Anolis sagrei: one gene and its partners. The protein of the gene in region 3 interacts with the protein of the main gene of each other region in a biochemical or structural test. Links are inferred from orthologs where the notes say so. Each region holds a gene or a part of one and is shown on either strand. Other genes may lie near its edges.

What was found. The genes of interacting proteins can lie anywhere in the genome.
Region 1: of the proteins of MAP2K7 (region 3) and MAP3K11, one has a biochemical effect on the other in vitro, tested with the Homo sapiens proteins (2 studies listed by BioGRID). The link is inferred for Anolis sagrei from reciprocal best matches to the Homo sapiens genes MAP2K7 and MAP3K11.
Region 2: the proteins of MAP2K7 (region 3) and MAPK8IP2 form a complex in vitro, tested with the Homo sapiens proteins (2 studies listed by BioGRID). The link is inferred for Anolis sagrei from reciprocal best matches to the Homo sapiens genes MAP2K7 and MAPK8IP2.

The regions. Positions count from the first base shown.
Region 1 is NC_090032.1:20,098,327-20,106,055, forward strand, and holds the start of MAP3K11 (mitogen-activated protein kinase kinase kinase 11), read left to right. Parts: upstream 1-4,724; 5' UTR 4,725-4,815; coding exon 4,816-5,527; intron 5,528-7,729. UniProt on the Homo sapiens protein: Activates the JUN N-terminal pathway. Required for serum-stimulated cell proliferation and for mitogen and cytokine activation of MAPK14 (p38), MAPK3 (ERK) and MAPK8 (JNK1) through phosphorylation and activation of MAP2K4/MKK4 and MAP2K7/MKK7.
Region 2 is NC_090025.1:199,415,057-199,422,515, reverse strand, and holds the start of MAPK8IP2 (C-Jun-amino-terminal kinase-interacting protein 2), read left to right. Parts: upstream 1-4,454; coding exon 4,455-4,518; intron 4,519-7,459. UniProt on the Homo sapiens protein: The JNK-interacting protein (JIP) group of scaffold proteins selectively mediates JNK signaling by aggregating specific components of the MAPK cascade to form a functional JNK signaling module.
Region 3 is NC_090022.1:112,614,087-112,620,974, forward strand, and holds the start of MAP2K7 (dual specificity mitogen-activated protein kinase kinase 7), read right to left. Parts: upstream 3,004-6,888; 5' UTR 2,948-3,003; coding exon 2,824-2,947; intron 1-2,823. Other genes in the region: volume-regulated anion channel subunit LRRC8D-like, read right to left, coding at 6,072-6,888. UniProt on the Homo sapiens protein: Dual specificity protein kinase which acts as an essential component of the MAP kinase signal transduction pathway. Essential component of the stress-activated protein kinase/c-Jun N-terminal kinase (SAP/JNK) signaling pathway.

The DNA of each region.
Region 1 (7,729 bases), on a different chromosome or scaffold from region 3:
AGACTCAAAGCGGCTTATTCCTATTTCTATTATTATTATTATTATTATTATGTTTATATATACCCCGCTTTATCTCTCCCGAAGGATATTATTATTAACTATGTTATCACTTATATTGTTATTACTATATTATTATTAATATGTTATTATTACTATTATTAACATATTATTAACATATTATTACTATTATTATTATCTCTCCCAAAGACGACTCAAAGCAGTTTACATGAAATTATTATTATTATTATTATTATTATTATTAGATGTATTTATATACCATTTATCTCATCCAGAAGAGACTCAAAGCGGCTTATTCCTATTCGTATTTGTATTTTTATTTGTATTATTATTATTATTATTACTATTATTATTTCTCCCAAAGAAGACTCAAAGCGGCTTACATGAAATTATTATTATTATTAGATTTATTTATATGTAGCATTTTATCTCATCCGGAAGAGACTCAAAGCAGCTTATTCTTATTTGTATTATTATTATTATTATTATTATTATTATTATTATTATGATGTTTATATATACCTCACTTAATCTCTCCCAAAGGAGACTCAAAGTGGCTTACATGATATTATTATTATTATTATTATTATTATTATTATTAGATTTATTTATATACCATTTTATATACCATTTTATCTCATCCGGAAGAGACTCAAAGCGGCTTATTCGTATTATTATTATTATTATTATTATTATTATTATTATTATTATTATGTTTATATATACCTCACTTTATCTCTCCCAAAGGAGACTCAAAGTGGCTTACATGATATTATTATTGTTATTGTTATTATTAGATTTATTTGTATACCATTTTATATACCATTTTATCTCATCCAGAAGAGACTCAGAGCGGCTTATTCTTATTATTCGTATTATTATTATTATTATTATTATTATTATGTTTATATATACCTCACTTTATCTCTCCCAAAGGAGACTCAAAGTGGCTTACATGATATTATTATTCTTACTATTATTAGATTTATTTATACTTCATTTTACACATATTATATTGATAATAATGTTGTAATCCAATACAATATAATACTACTAATAATACAATATAATAAATATAGATTTTATATTACCTGTATTATTACTAATAATATTATAGTATGGTGGTATAGTACAATATTGGAATGTATGGTACTAATATTTATATTACATGTATTATTATTAATAATATTATTATAGTATAGTGGTATAGTACAATATTGGAATGTATGGTATTAATATTTATATTACATGTATTATTACTAATCATATTCTAGTGTAGTGGTATGGAATCTATGGTACTAGTATTTATATTACATGTATTATTACTAATAATATTCTAGTATAGTGGTGTAGTACAATATTGGAATGTATGGTAGTAATATTTATATTACATGTATTATTATAACTAATAATATTATGTTATAGTGGTATAGTACAATGTTGGAATGTATGGTACTAAAGTTTATATTACATGTATTATTACTAATAATATTATAGTATGGTGGTATAGTACAATATTGGAATGTATGGTACTAATATTTATATTACATGTATTATTATTAATAATATTATAGTATAGTGGTATAGTACAATATTGGAATGTATGGTATTAATATTTATATTACATGTATTATTACTAATCATATTCTAGTGTAGTGGTATGGAATCTATGGTACTAGTATTTATATTACATGTATTATTACTAATAATATTATAGTATAGTGGTATAGTACAATATTGGAATGTATGGTACTAATATTTATATTACATGTATTATTACTAATAATATTATATTATAGTGGTGTAGTACAATATTGGAATGTACGGCACTAATATTTATATTACATGTATTATTACTAATAATATTCTAGTATAGTGGTGTAGTACAATATTGGAATGTACGGCACTAATATTTATATTACATGTACTAATATTTATATTACATGTATTATTACTAATAATATTATTACAGTATAGTGGTATAGTACAATATTGGAATGTATGGTATTAATATTTATATTACATGTATTATTACTAATAATATCTAGTGTAGTGGTATGGAATGTATGGTACTAGTATTTATATTGCATGTATTATTACTAATAATATTCTAGTATAGTGGTATAGTACAATATTGGAATGTATGGTACTAGTATTTATATTACATGTATTATTACTAATAATATTATTATAGTATAGTGGAATAGTACAATATTGGAATGTATGGTACTAGTATTTATATTACATGTATTATTACTAATAATATTCTAGTACAGTGGTATAGTACAATATTGGAATGTATGGTTCTAATATTTATATTACATGTATTATTACTAATAATATTCTAGTATAGTGGTATAGTACAATATTGGAATGTATGGTACTAGTATTTATATTACATGTATTATTACTAATAATATTCTAGTATAGTGGTATAGTACAATATTGGAATGTATGGTACCAATATTTATATTACATGTATTATTACTAATAATATTATTATAGTATAGTGGAATAGTACAATATTGGAATGTATGGTACTAATATTTATATTACATGTATTATTACTAATATTATTATTATAGTATAGTGGTGTAGTACAATATTGGAATGTACGGCACTAATATTTATATTACATGTACTAATATTTATATTACATGTATTATTGCTAATAATATTATAATATAGTGGAATAGTACAATATTGGAATGTATGGTACTAATATTTATATTACATGTATTATTACTAAGAATATTCTAGTATAGTGGTATAGTACAATATTGGAATGTATGGTACTAATATTTATATTACATGTATTATTATTAATAATATTATAGTATAGTGGTATAGTACAATATTGGAATGTATGGTGCTAATATTTATATTACATGTATTATTATTAATAATACTATAGTATAGTGGAATAGTACAATATTGGAATGTATGGTACTAATATTTATATTAAATGTACTATTACTAATAATATTCTAGTATAGTGGTATAGTACAATATTGGAATGTATGGTACTAATATTTATATTACATGTATTATTATTAATAATACTATAGTATAGTGGAATAGTACAATATTGGAATGTATGGTACTAATATTTATATTACATGTATTATTACTAAGAATATTCTAGTATAGTGGTGTAGTACAATATTGGAATGTACGGCACTAATATTTATATTACATGTACTAATATTTATATTACATGTATTATTGCTAATAATATTATAGTATAGTGGAATAGTACAATATTGGAATGTATGGTACTAATATTTATATTACATGTACTAATATTTATATTACATGTATTATTACTAATAATATTATTACAGTATAGTGGTATAGTACAATATTGGAATGTATGGTATTAATATTTATATTACATGTATTATTACTAATAATATCTAGTGTAGTGGTATGGAATGTATGGTACTAGTATTTATATTGCATGTATTATTACTAATAATATTATTACAGTATAGTGGTATAGTACAATATTGGAATGTATGGTACTAATATTTATATTACATATCATATTATAGTATAGTGGTGTAGTACAATATTGGAATGTATGGTACTAGTATTTATATTACATGTATTATTACTAATAATATTCTAGTATAGTGGTGTAGCACAATATTGGAATGTACGGCACTAATATTTATATTACATGTATTATTGCTAATAATATTATAGTATAGTGGAATAGTACAATATTGGAATGTATGGTACTAATATTTATATTACATTCATTATTACTAATAATATTCTAGTGTAGTGTTATGGAATGTATGGTACTAGTATTTATATTACATGTATTATTACTAATAATATTATATTATAGTGGTATAGTACAATATTGGAATATATGGTACTAATATTTATATTACATTCATTATTACTAATAATATTCTAGTGTAGTGTTATGGAATGTATGGTACTAGTATTTATATTACATGTATTATTACTAATAATATTATAGTATAGTGGAATAGTACAATATTGGAATATATGGTACTAATATTTATATTACATGGATTATTACTAATAATATTCTAGTGTAGTGTTATGGAATGTATGGTACTAGTATTTATATTACATGTATTATTACTAATAATATTATATTATAGTGGTATAGTACAATATTGGAATGTATGGTAGTAATATTTATATTACATGTATTATTATTACTAATAATATTATGTTATAGTGGTATAGTACAATGTTGGAATGTATGGTACTAAAGTTTATATTACATGTATTATTACTAATAATATTATTATATTATAGTGATATAGTACAATATTGGAATGTATGGTACTAATATTTATATTACATGTATTATAATATTATAGTATAGTGGAATAGTACAATATTGGAATGTATGGTACCAATATTTATATTACATGTATTATTATTATTAATAATATTATAGTATAGTGGTATAGTACAATATTGGAATGTATGGTACTAATATTTATATTACATGTATTATTATTAATAATATTATAGTATAGTGGAATAGTACAATATTGGAATATATGGTACTAATATTTATATTACATGTATTATTACTACTAATATTATTATAGTATAGTGGTATAGTACAGTATTGGAATGTATGGTACTAATATTGTGCTGTGCCTATAAATGTCGTAAATAAGGCATAACATTTGTCCCCATTTCAGGTCTGCCAATGACCCCACATCGCGAGAGGGAAGATGTCCCGCCTAAGGTGATGTTGGCGACCTAGTTGTGGGCATGAGATGAGGTTCCGGCAACGCCATGGAGCCCTTGAAGAACATGTTCCGGAAGGCGACTCCGGCCACCTGGGGCTCCAGCCTCCGTAGCGGCGGTCCCGTAGCCTACGCAAACCCGGTCTGGACGGCACTCTTTGACTACGAAGCGGCCAGCAGCGACGAGCTGACCTTGCGGAAAGGCGACCTGGTGGAGGTGCTGTCGTGGGATGCGGCCATCTCGGGAGACGAGGGCTGGTGGGCCGGCAAGGTCAACGACAAAGTGGGCATCTTCCCTTCCAACTACGTCTCGCCCAAGACAGGGGGCTACGTGGGGCCCGAGGGGCCGCCCGAGGCCGACTTCCGCGACCTGAGGCTGGAGGAGGTCATCGGGGTCGGGGGCTTCGGCAAGGTCTATCGGGGCACATGGTGCGGGGAGCTGGTGGCGGTCAAGGCGGCCCGCCAGGACCCGGACGAGGACATCGGCACCACGGCCGAGCGGGTGCAGCAAGAGGCGAGGCTCTTCGCCATGCTGCAGCACCGCAACATCATCGCCCTCAAAGCCGTCTGCCTCCAGGAGCCGAACCTGTGCCTCGTGATGGAGTACGCGGCCGGGGGTCCGCTGAACCGGATGCTGGCCGGCCGCAGGATCCCCCCACACATCCTCATCAACTGGGCCGTCCAGGTCGCCCAGGGGATGCAGTACCTCCATTGCGGGGCCATCGTGCCCGTCATCCACCGCGACCTCAAGTCCAACAACGGTAAGTGGTATTCTGGCATGAGTCTTTGTGGCTGGATGGCCATCTGTTGGGAATGCTTTGATTGTGTCTTTCTGGACCAGATGACTCTCCCGTCTCTAGGATTCTACACTGGCCATTTAATGCAGTTTGAAGCTAGCTACATAACAAATTATTATTATTATTATTATTATAAACTACAAGAGAGGAGATTCCATCTGAACATGAGGAAGAACTTCCTGACTGTGAGAGCTGTTCAGCAGTGGAACTCTCTGCCCCGGAGTGAGGTGGAGGCTCCTTCTTTGGAAGCTTTTAAACAGAGGCTGGATGGCCATCTGTCAGGGGTGATTTGAATGCAATATTCCTGCTTCTTGGTAGAATGGGGTTGGACTGGATGGCCCAGGAGGTATCTTCCAACTCTAGGATTCTATGATTATTGAGTTGTAAGTTTTTTTGGCAGTATGTCCATGTTCTAGAAGCATTCTCTCCTGACGTTTCGCCTGCCTCTGTGGCAGGCATCCTCAGAGGTTGTGAGGTCCTGACAACCTCTGGGGATGCCTGCCATAGATGCAGGTGAAACGTCAGGAGAGAATGCTTCTAGAACATGGCCAGACAGCCCGAAAAACCTACAACAACCCAGTGATTCCAGCCGTGAAAGCCTTCGACAATACATCATGGGTTGGTCTGGATGGCCTTTGGAGGTCCCTTTCAACTTTATTATTATTTTGTGTTGTTGTTGTTGTTGTTGTTGTTGTTATTATACTTTGGATGAAGCAGATTGGCTATTAGGATGGCAGAACTGGGTTGGTCTGGATGGCCTTTGCGGGTCCCTTCCAACTTTATGATTATTTGTTGTTGTTGTTGTTGTTGTTGTTGTTATTATTATTATTTTGGATGCAACAGGATGGCTATCAGGACAGCAGAACTGGGTTGGTCTGGATGGCCTTTGGAGGTCCCTTCCTACTTTATGATTATATTGTGTTATTATTATTATTATATTTATACCCCACTTTAACTCTTGCAAAGAAGACTCAAAGCGACTTACATTAAATTGTTATCATTATTATTATTATATGTATTTATTTATTTATACCCTGCTCAATCTCTCCCAAAAGAGACTCAAAGCAGCTTACATTAAAGTATTATTATTATTTGAGTCAAAGGAGACTTCCATTAAATCATCATCATCATCATCATCATCTATTTATATTATTATATTTACTTATATCCCACTTTGTCAAAGGAGACTCAAAGCTGCTTACATTAAATAATAGTAATAATAAAAATTATTACATTAAATTATTATTATTATTATTCAATTATATTATTATATTTATTTATACCCCACTTTATCTCTCCCAAAGGATACTCAAAGCGGCTTACATTAAATAATAGTAATAATAATAATAATAATAATAATAATATTTATACCCCACTTTATCTCTCCCAAAGGATACTCAGTGGCTTACAGTAATAATAATAATAATAATAATAGTAATAACAATAATAATTGGGTTGTTGTAGGTTTTTTTGAGCTATATGACCATGTTCTAGAGGCATTTTCTCCTGACGTTTCGCCTGCATCTATGGCAAGCATCCTCAGAGGTAGTGAGGTAGGAGAAAATGCCTCTAGAAAATGGCCATATAGCCCGAAAAAACCTACAACAACCCAGTGATTCTGGCCATGAAAGCTTTCGACAATTCAATAATAATAATAATAATAATAATAATAATAATAATAATAATAATGATAAATTTATACCCCACTTTATCTCTTCCAAAGGAGACTCACAGCAGCATACATATAATAATAATAATAATAATAATAATAATAATAAATTTATACCCCACTTTATCTCTCCCAAAGGATACTCAAAGCAGCTTACATTAAATAATAATAATAATAATAATAATAATAATAATAATAATATATTTATACCCCACTTTATCTCTCCCAAAGGATACTCAAAGCAGCTTACATTAAATAATAATAATAATAATAATAATATATTTATACCCCACTTTATCTCTCCCAAAGGAGACTCAAAGCAGCTTACATTAAATAATATTAATAGTAATAATAATAATATATTTATACCCCACTTTATCTCTCCCAAAGGATACTCAAAGCAGCTTACATTAAATAATAATAATAATAATAATAATATATTTATACCCCACTTTATCTCTCCCAAAGGATACTCAAAGCAGCTTACATTAAATAAT
Region 2 (7,459 bases), on a different chromosome or scaffold from region 3:
TCCCTATTATTTCCTATTTCTCCTTCCTCCCTCTCTCCTTCCCTGCTTCTTTCCTTCTATCCACTCGTTCCTTCATTCTGTTCATTAAGCCCTCCCTCCCTTCTCTGCTTCCTTCCTTGCCTCTTTCATCCCTTCCTTCATTCTCTCAATCCTTCCCTTTCTTCTGGCCTTCCATCTATCCATCCTTTTTCTTCCCTCTCTCCCTCTTCCTTCTTATTCCTTCCTCCTTTCTTTCCTTCCTCACTTGCCTCCTTCCTTCCCGTTCCTTTCCTTCCTTCAGTCCATTCTTTCCTCCCTCACTATTCTTTTCTATTCTTTCTTCCTCCCTCCCTCCTTCCTTCTTTCCTATGCCTGCCTGCCTTCCTTCCTTCCTTCCTTCCTTCCTTCCTTCCTTCCTTCCTTCCTTCCTTCCATCAGTCCAGTCATTTTCTTCGTCCTATTAAGCCCTTCCTTCCTTCTTCCTTTCTTCCTTCCCTTCCACCACCCCTCCCTCTTCTGGCCTTCCTTCCTTCCTTCCTTCCTTCCTTCCTTCCTTCCTTCCTTCCTTCCTTCCACCTTCTCAATGCCTTACTTCCTGTTCCTTCCCTTGCTCCTTCCTTCTTCCCTCCTTTCCTTCCTCCCCCCCAATTTTCTCCTTCCCTCTTTCTTTCCCCCTCTCTCCTGACATTCCTTCCTTCCATCCCTCCTTTTCTTCCCTTTCTCCTTACTCCCTTCAATCCATTATTCCCTCCCTCCCTCTTCTTTCCTATTCCTTTCCTCCCTCCCTATTCCTTCATATTTCCTTCCTTCTAATTCCTTTCCTTGCTCCTTCCTTCCTTCCTTCCTTCCTTCCTTCCCTCAACCCATTATTTCCTTCCTTCCATCAGGTGTTCCTTCTTTCTTTCTTTCTTTCCTTCCTTCCTTCCTTCCTTCCTTCCTTCCTTCCTTCTTCCCTCCTCCTTCCCTCCTATTCTTTCTTTCTCTGAACTTTTCCCTTTCTCCTGGCCTTCCATCCATCCATCCATCCAACCAACCTTTTCCTCCCTTCCTCCCCATTCCTCCCTCCCTCCCTTCCTTCCTTGCTTCCTTTGTTCTTCCCTCCCCCTTCCTTCCTCCCTCCCTATTTTTTCTTTCTCTGCCCCTTTCCCTCTCTCCTGGCCTTCCTTCCTTCCATCCCTCCTTTTCTCCCCTTTCTCCTTCCTCCCTTCAATCTATTATTTCCTTCCTTACATCAGGCCCTTCCCTCCTTCCTCCCTATTCTTTCTTTCTCTGCTCCTTTCCCTTTCTCCTTCCTTCCTTCCTTCCTTCCTTCCTTCCTTCCTTCCCTCCTTCCTTCCTTCTTCCCTCCCCCTTTCCTCCTTCCTATTCTTTCTTTCTCTGCCCCTTTCCCTTTCTCCTTCCTTCCTTCCTTTCCTTCTTCTCTCCTTCCCTATTCCTTCCTATTTCCTCCTTCTTCTCTCCTTCCCTATTCCTTCCTATTTCCTCCTTCTAATTCCTTCCCTTGCTCCTTTCCTTTCTTCCTTCAATCTATTATTTCCTTCCTTCCATCAGGCTCTTCCTTCCTTAGGTTCTTCCCCTTTCCTCCCTATTCCTTCTTTCTCTGCCCCTTTTCCTTTCTCCTGGCCTTTTTTCCTTCCTTCCTTCCTTCCTTCCTTCCTTCCTTCCTTCCCTCCCTCCCTCCTTCCTCCCTCCCCCCCTTTCCTCCTTCCTCCCTATTCTTTCTTTCTCTGCTCCTTTCCCTTTCTCCTTCCTTCCTTCCTTCCTTCCTTCTTTCCTCCCCCTTTCCTCCTTCCTCCCCATTGTTTCTTTCTCTGCCCCTTTCCCTTTCTCCTTCCTTCCTTCCTTCCTTCCTTCCTTCCTTCCTTCCTTCCTTCCCTTTCCTTCTTCTCTCCTTCCCTATTCCTTCCTATTTCCTTCTTCTAATTCCTTCCCTTGCTCCTTTCCTTTCTTCCTTCAATCTATTATTTCCTTCCTTCCTTCTTCCCCTTTCTGCTTTCCTCCTTATTCCTTCTTTCTCTGCCCCTTTCTCTTTCTCCTGGCCTTCCTTCCTTCTTCCCTCCCCCCCTTCCCTCCTTCCTCCCTATTCCTTCTTTCTCTGCACCTTTTCCTTTCTTCTGGCCTTCCTTCCATCTATCCATCCATCCATCCAACCTACTTTTTCCTCCCTTCCTCCTCATCCCTCCCTCCCTCCCCTCCCTCCCTCCCTTCCTTTCTCCTTCCTACTAGTCCTTCTTTCTCTGCTCCTTTCCCTTTCTCCTGGCCTTCCTTCCATCCTTCCTTCCATTCTCTCAATTCCTTCCTCCCTAATTCTTCCTCTGCTCCTTTCCCTTTCTCCTTCCTTCCTTCCTTCCTTCCTTCCTTCCTTCCTTCCTCTCTCCCTCCCCCCTTTCCTCCTTCCTCCCTATTCTTTCTTCCTCTGCTCCTTTCCCTTTCTCCTGGCCTTCCTTCCTTCCTTCCTTCCTTCCTCTCTCCCTCCCCCTTTCCTCCTTCCTCCCTATTCTTTCTTCCTCTGCTCCTTTCCCTTTCTCCTGGCCTTCCTCCCTTCCTTCCTCTCTTCCTCTCTCCCTCCCCCCTTTCCTCCTTCCTCCCTATTCTTTCTTCCTCTGCTCCTTTCCCTTTTCCTTCCTTCCTTCCTTCCTTCTTCCTTCCTTTCTCTCTCCCTCTCCCTTTCCTCCTTCCTCCCTATTCTTCCTTTCTCTGCTCCTTTCCCTTTCTCCTGGCCTTCCTTCCTTCCTTCCTTCCTTCCTTCCTTCCTTCCTTCCTTCCTCTCTCCCTCCCCCCTTTCCTCCTTCCTCCCTATTCATTCCTCTGCTCCTTTCCCTTTCTCCTTCCTTCCTTCCTTCCTTCTTCCTTCTTTCCTTCTTCCTCTCTCCCCTCCCCCTTTCCTCCTTCCTCCTATTCTTTCTTCTCTGCTCCTTTCCCTTTCTCCTTCCTTCCTTCTTTCCTTCCTTCCTCTCTCCCTCCCCCCTTTCCTCCTTCCTCTCTATTCTTTCTTCCTCTGCTCCTTGCCCTTTCTCCTTCCTTCCTTCCTTCCTTCCTTCCTTCCTCTCTCCCTCCCACCTTTCCTCCTTCCTCCCTATTCTTTCTTCCTCTGCTCCTTTCTCCTTCCTTCCTTCCTTCCTTCCTTCCTTCCTTCCTCTCTCCTCCCCCCTTTCCTCCTTCCTCCCTATTCTTTCTTCCTCTGCTCCTTTCCCTTTCTCTGGCCTTCCTTCCTTCCTTCCTTCCTTCCTTCCTTCCTCTCTCCTTCCCCTTTCCTCCTTCCTCCCTATTCTTTCTTCCTCTGCTCCTTTCCCTTTCTCCTTCCTTCCTTCCTTCCTTCCTTCTTTCCCTTCTCCTCTCTCCCTCCCCTTTCCTCTTTCCTCCCCATTGTTCTTTCTCTGCCCCTTTCCCTTTCTCCTTCCTTCCTTCCTTTCCTTTCCTTCTTCTCTCCTTCCCTATTCCTTCCTATTTCCTCCTTCTAATTCCTTCCCTTGCTCCTTTCCTTTCTTCCTTCAATCTATTGTTTCCTTCCTTCCTTCCTTCTTCCCCTTTCCTCTTCTTTCCTTTCTTCTGGCCTTCCTTCCATCTATCATCCATCTATCCATCCATCCATCCAACCTACCTTTTCCTGCCTTCCTCCACATCCCTCCCTCCCCCCTTCCTTCTTCCTTCCTTCCTTCCTTCCTTCCTTCCTACTATTCCTTCTTCCTCTGCTCCTTTCCCTTTCTCCTGGCCTTCCTTCCATCCTCCTTCCATTCTCTCCATTCTTCCTTCTTCCCTAATTCTTCCTCTGCTCCTTTCCCTTTCTCCTTCTTTCTTCCTTCTTCTCTCCCTCCCCTTTCCTCTTCCTCCCTTTCTTCCTTTCTCTGCCCCTTTCCTTTCTCCTGGCCTTCCTTCCTTCCTTCCCTCCACCCTTTTCTTCCTTCCTTCCTTCCATCCTTCTCTTTCCTTCCTCCCTTCAGCACTGGACAGCGCCCTCTTTCAGCACCTTCCCGGGAGGGACAGCGCCAAGCTTGCCTGCCTTGAGCAGGAGAGGAGGAGGAGGAGGAGGAAGGCCACAGACAAGGCCGCCCCCCCACCCCCCAAAAAGGAGGGTCTGGCGGTGACGTCGTAGTTGTTTCACGGGGGGGGGGTGTCCCTTGCTTGTGATCTGCCCCTCCTCCCCTCCCTCCCTCCCCCTCCCCTTCCGCACCCAAGGGCGGGGCCTGGCTGCCCCCTCTTTCCCTCCTCCTCCTCCCTTTCTCCTTCCCTCTCTTCCTCCTTTCCTTCCTTCCTCCGGTGTTTTTCTGGGGCGGAGGAGGGTGAGGCGGGTGCGCCATGGCTGCGGCGGATCTCAGCGCCTCCCTCGAGAGACAGAAAGGCCCCAAGAGGGGGAGAAGCAGCCCCCCCAGCCCCAGTGAAGAAGGAGGGGAAGACAGCCCCCCCCCCCCCGCCTCCATCTCTCCCTTCTCTATTTATCTATCCCTCCATCTCTCTCTCTCTCTGTCTCTGCGAAGATGGCGGACCGGGCGGAGATGTTCTCTCTCTCCACCTTCACTCGCTCTCGCCGCCGGGGTGCAGGTGAGGAGGGGGCGGCGATGGGGGGAGGGGGGGACACGGTGGGCGAGGAGGGAGGGGGAAGGGAGGCGCACCCTGACATGGAAATGAAGCACCCCCCCCTTTTGGGCCTACCTCGGGAAAAGAGGAAAGAGGGAGAGAGGGGGGGGGGGTCTCCATTGGAGAGGGAAGGGTCTGCTTCTAAGGTTGGGGGCTTCTGCTTGGGTTGAGAAGGGGAGGGGGAGGGAGAGGGAGAGACGTCGGCGACGCAGCAAGGGCTGTCTTGATGCCTATTTGTCGGAATGGGTTTGGGCCTCTCTCGATGTCTCTCAATGGGAAGGAAGACCCCCCCCCCTTTGGGCCTTCCATTGGGGCAGGAAAGGGGTCTTTCTTCCCCCAATGAGAGGGCTTCTAAGGCCTCTCTTTGGTACATATAAGGGGGGCAATGAAGATAATGACAAAGTCGCAGGAAGGTCTGCCTGTTGTATGTCGGGGTGGGAAGACCCTCCAGGGCTGAGCTTCAATGGAAGGAAGACCCCCCTTTGGGCTTCCATTGGGCCAGGAAAGGGGGTCTCTCTTCCCCCCATTAAGAGGGGCTTCTGGGCCTCTCTTTGGTTCGTATAAAGGGGGCAATGAAGATAATGACAAAGTCGCAGGAAGGCCTGCCTGTTTGTATGTCGGGTGGAAAGACTCTCAAGGCTGGGCTTCAATGGGAAGGAAGACCCCCCTTTGGCCTCCATTTGGGGCAGGAAAGGGGGTCTCTCTTCCCCCATTGAGAGGGGCTTCTAAGGCCTCTCTTTGGTTCGTATAAGGGGGGTAATGAAGATAATGACAATGTTGCAGGAAGGTCTGCCTGTTTGTATGTTGGGTGGGAAGACCCTCCAGGGCTGAGCTTCAATGGGAAGGAAGACCCCCTTTGGGCTTCCATTGGGGCAGGAAAGGGGGTCTCTCTTCTCCCCACTGAGAGAGGCTTCTAAGGCTTCTCCTTGGTTTCTACAAGGGGGGAATGAAGATAATATTGACAAAGTCGCAGGAAGGTCTGCCTGCTTGTATGTCAGGTGGGAAGCCCCCCCAAGGCTGGGTTTCAATGGGAAGGAAGACCCCCCCCCCTTTGGGCCTCCATTGGGGCAGGAAAGGGGTCTCTCTCTCTCTCTCTATCCCCCATTGAGAAGGGCTTCTGGGCCTCTCTTTGGTTCGTATAAGGGGGGCAATGAAGATAATGACAAAGTCACAGGAAGGCCTGCTGTTTGTATGTCGGGTGGAAAGACCCTCCAGGGCTGGGCTTCAATGGGAAGACCCCCCCTTTTGGGCCTCCATTTGGGGCAGAAAGGGGGTCTCTCTTCCCCACTGAGAGAGGCTTCTGGCCTTTCTTGGTTTGTTAAGGGGGGGGAGGAATGAAAATAATGGTCTGACTGTTTGTATTTCGAGTGGGAAGTCCCTCCAAGGCTGGGTCGGGGGCTCAAACTCTCTCTCTTAATGGGGAGGAAGACCCCTTTGGGCCTCCATTGGGCAGGAAAGGGGGTCTCTCTTCTTCCATCGAGAGGGGCTTCTGGGCCTCTCTTTGGTTTGTATAAAGGGGGCAATGAAGATATTGACAAAGTCACAGGAAGGTCTGTCTGTTTGTTTCTTGGGTGGGAAACCTTCCTATGACTGGGTTTGGTCTCTCTCTCTCAATGGAAAAGAAGACCCCTTTGGGCCTCCATTGGGGCAGGAAAAGGGTCTCTCTTCCCCCACTGAAAGAGGCTTCTGAGCCTTTAGTTGGTTTGTATAAGGGGGGGGGGATGAAGAAGGTCTGCCTGTTTGTATTTCGAGTGGGAAATCCCTCCAGGGCTGGGTTGGGGACTCAATCTCTCTCTTTCTCTAATGGGAAAGAAGACCCCCTTTGGGCCTCTATTGGGGCAGGAAAGGGGGTCTCTCTCTCTCTTTCCCCATTGAGAAGGGCTTCTGGGCCTCTCTTTGGTTCGTATAAAGGTGGCAATGAAGATAATGACAGGAAGGTCTGCCTGTTTGTATGTCTGGTGGGAAGTCCCTCCAGGGCTGGGCTTCAATGGGAAAGAAGACACCCTTTGGGCCTCCATTTGGGACAGGAAAGGGGGTCTCCCTCTCTCTCTCTTCCCCCATTGAGAGAGGTTTCTAGGCCTCTCTTTGGTTTGTATAAGGGAGGAATGAAGATAATGACAATGTTACAGGAAGGCCTGCCTGTTTGTATGTCAGGTGGAAAGACCCTCCAGGGCTGGGTTTCAATGGAAGGAAGACCCCCCCTTTGGGCCTCCATTGGGGCAGGAAAGGGGGTCTCTCTCTCTCTTCCCCCATTGAAAGAGGTTTCTGGGCCTCTCTTTGGTTTGTATAAATGAGGGAGAATGAAGGTATTGACAAAGTCTCAGGAAGATCTGCCTGTTTGTTTCTCGGGTGGGAAGACCTCCAGGGATGGGCTTCAATGGGAAGGAAGACCCCCCCCCCTTTGGGCCTCCACTAGGACAGGAAAGGGATCTCTCTTCCCCATTAAGAGGGGCTTCTGGGCCTCGGTCTGCCTGTTTGTATGTTGGGTGGGAAGCTCCTCCAAGGCTGGGTTTCAATGGGAAGAAGACCCCCCCCCCTTTGGGCCTCCATTGGGGCAGGAAAGGGGGTCTTTCTTCCCCCAATGAGAAGGGCTTCTGGGCCTCTTCTTGGTTTCTACAAGGGGGCAATGAAGATATTGACAAAGTCGCAGGAAGGCTGGCCTGTTTGTATGTCAGGTGGGAAGACCCTCCAAGGCTGGGCATCAATGAGAAATAAGACCCCCTTTGGGCCTCTATTTGGAACACAAAAGGGGGTCTCTCTTCCCCCATTGAGAGAGGCTTCTGGACCTTCCTTGGTTTGTATAGGGGGGGGGAGGATTGAAAATAATGGTCTGCCTGTTTGTATTTTGAGTGGGAAGTCCCTCCAAGGCTGGGTCAGGGGCTCCATCTCTCTCTCTCTCTTAATG
Region 3 (6,888 bases):
AGAATAGTACAACTTCAAAAGGCGCAGAAAGGGCAATCAAAATAATAAAATAATTAGAGCCATTTCCCTAGGAGAAAAAGTTACAACATTTGGTTTAAGAAAACAAAACCTGGAGAAGTGGTAAGCAGGAAGGCTCCTGATGTGTATGTATACATATAAGCAAAGTGGGCAAAAAGCAGGCAGGCAAAGCTTTTCATCTTCTCATATATTACTAAAACGCTGGATTATTCAAGCAAACCAAACTGTAGGCAATTCAAAACAGACCGGACAAAACATTTATTCACACACCAAATATTTAAATTAGGGAATATGCCACCACAATATGCAGCAATTGCTATAAATGTGAAAATATATAAACAGGAATTAGGTAACGTCATGGAAGATATAGTTATCACTAACCAGTCATTTTGGAGGCTACAAACTACTTCTAGTATCAAAGGAAGTATATATTTCAAGACCAGTTGTTGGAGAATATAAATGTGATAGCAATACTACATTTACATCCTAACTAAGGGCTCCCCATAGAAATGTGGTTGGTCCATTGTAGGAACTACATGCCTAACTTGATGAGCTTCATCCAAGTAGCTCTTCTTATGTTCTTAACTTATTCTACATTTGGCTACTGCATGCGGATCGCAAAAACATCACTGTAGTCCAGAAAAGTCCTCACAACAGAGAGCACCTTGCTCCAAGAGACAATATTAACTAGACTGTTCTTCAAGGACAATGCTGTACCATTGTTTTCAGAACTGAAAACAGGATGCAGGGAAGCAGAGACTCTTTAATTTCAGCCAAGGAAAAAGGCCTATACTGTAGGTATGAGAAATCAGAGGAACACTGTCTGACACTTACACTCAAGACTTTTCTAATTCTTAAGTTAGAATTTAGTTCATTATTCTAAAACATCTGTAAACTTTCATCCATACAAAAATATTAGACAAATATGACAGAATGACTCTGAACTGAACTTCACTTGTAGCTATTTCTGCACACCAAACTTTCAATCCACCCCCAACCCCTCCTTCCAGTGCTGTGATCTGAGGGATCCCAAATCCAGTTCTCCCAAGTAATTTGTTTCACTACACCAGGGTTTCTTAAACTTTTCCCACTTGCAACCTCTTTCTGCCTTTGAAAGTTTTATGCAACCCCGGCTATAAAGGTATATAAAATAGGTATAAAAAAGAAATAAAAATTCACAGATAAAAAATCTGCATTTACAAGGCTAGTTAAACAGTCTGATTTTCCTTTCTTATGAAATGCAGCTGAAGTATTTTCTGTAGAGTCCACTGTAAACACAAATGTTCTTACTAACATTTGTGTAAATGTCTAAAATAACACTGACATCATGAATTAACCTTTTATTGGGTTGCTGTGAGTTTAATGAGCTGTATGGCCATGTTCCAGAAGCATTCTCTCCTGATGTTTCACCCACATCTATGGCAGGCATCCTCAGAGGTTGAGGGGTTTGTTGGAAACTAGGCAAGTGGGTTTTATATATCTGTGGAATGTCCAAGATGGGAGAAAAAACTCTTGTCAGTTGGAGGCAACTGTGAATGTTGCACTTGATCAACTTGAGTAGCATTGAATAACCTTGCAGCTTCCAAGTTTGGCTGCTTCATGCCTGGGGGAATAGTTTGTTAGGAGGTAATTAGCTGGCCCTGATTGTTTTTTGTCTGGAATTCCCGTTTGTGAATGTTGTTCTTTATTAACTGTCCTGATTTTAGAGTTTTTTAATACTGGTAGCCAGATTTTGTTCTTTTTCATGGTTTCCTCCTTTCTGTTGAAATTAAGGTTTTCATTTATTTATTGTATCAGAAGCAGCCCAAGGGTACAGTTGCAATGTATTTAAAAACACAAAGTTAAAAACACACACAAAGCATTATATTAAATGTCCTTTGACAGTAGCTTGTCACTTAGAGTGCCTATTAGAAGGTTCTCCATTGTGCATGTGGGAGGGCTCAGACTGAATTGTAATAGGTGGTCTGTGGTTTGCTCTTCTCCACATTCGCATGTCACGGAATTCACTTTGTGGCCCCATTTAAAGGTGATCAGTTTCAACATTCCCACCTGCCTCAAACAGACCAGAGTTTTTCTCCCAGCCTGGACATTCCACAGATATATAAACCTCAGTTGCAGAATTTCCAACCTCTGAGGATGCCTGCCATAGATGTGGGCGAATCTTCAGGAGAGAATGCTTCTGGAACATGGCCATACAGCCTGGAAAACTCACAGCAACCCAGTGATTCCAGCCATGAAAGCCTTCGACAACACATTGACCTTTTATTGTTGCTAAATGTTGTGATCCCAACACTGAACTAAGGGGACCCCCACATCTTTAAAGAAAAAGTATTTCTGATTGCCATCATCCACAACTCCTGCCCCATCACAAAACACATTGGTTCAAGATAATCTCTTTATCTGTATCTGTATACTTTCTGTGGCCCACCCCTTTTGCTCCTGACACTTTCCTTCCTTCCTTCCTTCCTTCCTTCCTTCCTTCCTTCCTTCCTTCCTTCCCCCTGAACCGGTCGCCTTGAAAGATAAGGGCCAGTCCAGGCATGTGGCTCCCCCGCCGCACGCCGGCCTTGTCTGCTATGAGAGTCTCCCTCGCCACGAAGATCTCCCCCCACACACACGCCTTGCTCTCTTTCTTTCCCCGGCCCCACTTCTCCCCTCAGTCCTCCTGCCCCGCCAGCCCAGTCCGAGCCCCTGCTTAAGCGAGGCCAGGCCTCCCCTCGGCTCAGGCGCCCTCCTCCGCGCCGCCCGTCCCACCCGACACTGGGCCCTTCCGCGGAAGCGCTCCCCCCTCAGGCCCTCCCTTACTAGGCCGAGCCCGGGCCGGACTGATCTCCAAGTTGAGGTCGATGCGCCTCCGGGCCTCCCTGTTCTCCTGCTTCAGCTTGGCTTCCAGGCGGGACAGTTTCTGCTCCAGCGAGGACGCCGCCATCTTCCCCCTCCCCCTCCCCCGGAGCCGACGCCGCCACCGCGCAGCCAGAATACACAAACACCGCACTGCGCAGGCGCCACATGAACCAACCCGGCCGCCGTACTCCTCCCCCCGCCCTCCTCCTCCTTCGCAAACCAGGCTGGGCTCCGGCTTTGCCCGGCGCTTGTTTTGCCTGGCAGTCTCCTCTCTTGCGCATGCGCCGGGCTCGAACGTCTACTTCGGTCTACGGGACGTGTTGGAGATCTGCCGCGCATGCGCTTCCCCCACTTTCTCAGGGACAGGAGCAGCACGTCTGGAAGTCGCAGAGAAGTTAGCTTTTCTTTCAGACACTGGGTACATCTGCACTGGAGAAGTAATGCAGTTTGATACCACTTGTATGCATCCTTTATTTCTGTATTTTATTGTTTTTGCCAGGGGGTATAGTGAATGTATGATGTTGTGTTGACTGTTTATTGTTTATGTTTTATTTTGCACTTGTTGTATTTTGCATGTCACACTTTGAGTGACATGTGTGAGCCGCCCCGAGTCCCTCTGGGAGATGGTGGCGGGATATAAATAAAAGTGTATTATTATTTTACTGACACAGTGTGTCACAGCAAACGAGATATATATGCTGGATTTCGTATCACAAAATCACAAATCGAAACACTTGTTTATTATTATTATTATTTTTAAATAACATTAAATGTTGAATATAAAGAATATTAAGTGATATTAATTTTTATTATTATTTGAAATGCAACAAGATGAGTCCATAGCAGACACTCTGCTGGCTGTTGTATTGGATCATACGTCGGACATTTCCCAAGTGTCTAGGTCTGTGTGATGTATCCGCATATAATGCATGCAGATCCCAGTAAGGTGGCCTTCTGCAGCTAGCAGATGGTAATTTTCTCAGCACCGATTGTGTTTAAGTGCAGACCAAGGTCTTTAGGCACTGCACCCAGTGTGCCGATCACCACTGGGACCACCTTGACTGGCTTGTGCCAGAGTTTATTATTATTATTTTGTGATTTGATGAAGCACCAGCAGTCTTTGTAAAACTACAATCCCCAAGATTCTGGGAAAACATAGGATTGCAGGAGCTTGGAGCAGAAGTGGGATCATCTTGGCTGATTCTAGCAAACCTTTTTGGCGGGAGAGGCAACACAGTGCTGTCTCTGATGCCCAAGTAGAGAAGGACTCCCTGGAGGCTTTGTGGCCAAAATGGTGATGCAGAAAGCAGTGTATCCGCTTGAGAGTCTCAACCTTTGCCTATGTATTTTTGAAACCAAATTAATGTTGCGTGTCAACTGGAAATTAAAACCAGAAAGTCAGAATGGAATATCCTTGGTATGTGTCTCTCTTGCCTGTAATCCTGAAAAATAGCATATCTGCAGTTCCAGTTCTGTACACATTTCCTCCAGATCCCACTTGATGAATCAAATAGGAAGGCAAGAAATAAAAATGAGGAACAAACAACTTGGTACCATTTTTGACTTCATAATAAAGTGTCACTGGGGATCACAGTCTGTGGCATTTGAGAAGCTGCTTTATATGCTGTCATTGTGAGATACATCAGATACCAATAGATGCCTCAGTACATATTTTTTGTAACACAATGATTAAAGAGACCCAGTTTGAAAGCTCAGAGAACTAGGTCTTTGTTAGTTGCTTTGAATCTCTGTCTCACATTTTTAAAAGGGGAAGACTGGACTTCTAATAGAAAAGGCATGTTAAGAAATAATGCACCATCCAAGAAAAAGAATTGCCACCAAGCTGTAGTTACAGTCTCTTGGGAGCTGGTGACATCAGGGATCACAAAATTGTTAATATCATTAGTATTATGATGTTTATTTATATCCCACTTTTTCTCTCCATAAGGATACTCAAAGCATCTAGCATTAAAAGCATTACAATATAATTTAAAATTTAAAAATATTAAAACAGTATTAAACATCATCAGTATTAAAAACAATTCAGATTTAAACCATAAGAATATATAAAACCACAGCACCCCCCGAAATGATCTTAAAGGCCTTCTTCTTTAAAAGCCTGCCTGAAGAAGAAGGTTTTAGCCTGCCGCCAGAAGGACAGCAGGGAGGGAGCCAATCTGCCTTTGCTGGGTAGAAGGGAGTTCCAGAGTCGTGGGGCAGCCACCGAGAAGGAAGACCCGCTCTCTTGTCCCCACAAACCAAGCTTGGAGTGGAGGTGGGACTGAGAGAAGGGCCTTCCTGAAGATCGCAGGACTCAGACAGCTTTGTACAAAGGCACGCAGTCAGCCAAATAGCCTGGACCTGAACCATCTAAGGTAGGCATGGGCAAACTTGGGCCCTCCAGGTGTTTTGGACATCAACTCCCACAATTCGTAACAGCCAGTAGGCTGTTACAAAATGTGGGAGTTGGAGTCCAAAATGCCTCGAGGGCCCAAGTTTGCCCATGCCTGATCTAGGTCATAACCAGCACTTTGAATTGTGCCTGGAAATAGACAGGCAGCCAGTGGAGTCTGGTGACATCTGAAAATACTATACTATGTTATGCTAAGGTACAACAGTAACATTGAGCTCCTATGTATTAACAGTACTTTTAGTGGCAATAGACTTTCCCATTAGTAAAACCGACTTTTTTATATTCCTGTAAAATTTTCCTTGTGTTTTTTTTCCCAAATTGGGTACATTGTGGGAAGTTAATATCATGTAAGAAGCTATATCTTACTTTACACCACACTACTAGTCCATTAGTAAGCTTCCTCTTTTCCAATTGCCTTAATAATTGCTAGGCTGCTGCAGTGTTTTAGTGACATTTCTTCGTATGATCTGAATGTTTTTCCCACTTAGGTCCTTCAGTGACACAAGTCTCATATATCTTTTGCTCGCCTATTGTGTCTTAAGAATTTATGGAAACATAACATTACCAAAAATTGCCCTGACTGGAAGAAAAAGAAAACTTAAAACCAGACAGATGTGGATCATCTTGTCTCTTTGACTCTTTTCAAAAGAGTTGAGTTGTTCTGGTGTGTTGTCCTTTATGATATTGGAAATGATGGGTTTGGTGGAAAGTTTAGAGTCCTTATTCAGTAGCCTGGAAAATGTTACTTTTTGGACAGCGAGTCCCCAAATCCCCTTGCAGTGGATTTACTAAAGAGTTACTTCTTTAGACAGCAAGTCCCCAACCGCTTCTGCCAGACACTTGTGGGTGTGGGGAGATTCTGGGGGGTGTCCCATAAAAGAACTTTACCAAGCTTTGATTTGGGAAGCGTTTGTGTGTTGGTAAGTAAGGTAAGAAAATTATGTCCTCTCCAGCCTCCAATACCCAAATCATGGTCAAGATCAGCATCTGAAGGGCAGCTCCCACTCATTGCTGAAAGGAAGATGGCAAAGCGCCATGAGTATAGTTGGTCACACTGGTCAGCCATGTGCAGCAGGAAAGCAAAATCATTGTATACCTCTGGGATGTCAATTAAGTGGCTGCCTTCTTGCATTTGCTTAAAAGAATACTTGAGCAGCGGTTGTCGTACCAGCCATAAGAGGGGGTACATCCCAACAAGCCCATAGAGGAACACCAAGAATAAATAAGTAGCCATCAGTTTCTGCAAAATGGAAGCCAAACTATGGGTACAAAGAAAGGTAGAGTAGCCAATGAGGTTATCTGTGTCTAACCAGCAAATGTGTTTAAAGGCAATGGATCCTACATAACTGTAGGTGTAGCCTAGCACAGTTAGGACCTTTGCAACTTTGAAGATGGTTTGTCCAGTGTAGATTGTGTAAATCAAGCTGGCGCTCTCAGTGTGTGCCCTGAATCTGCAGATCTTCTCAAAGAGTGCCCAGCCTTGCTCTTTGTCCTTCCATTCTAGAATAGGAGAAGAGGAAGGTGATATCAGTTGGTTTTGGCACCCTCCTGCACCAGGGGTCTTGGGTCGGCCTATGACATGCTGGCAGGCCATCTCGGAGAGAGCCTTGGCA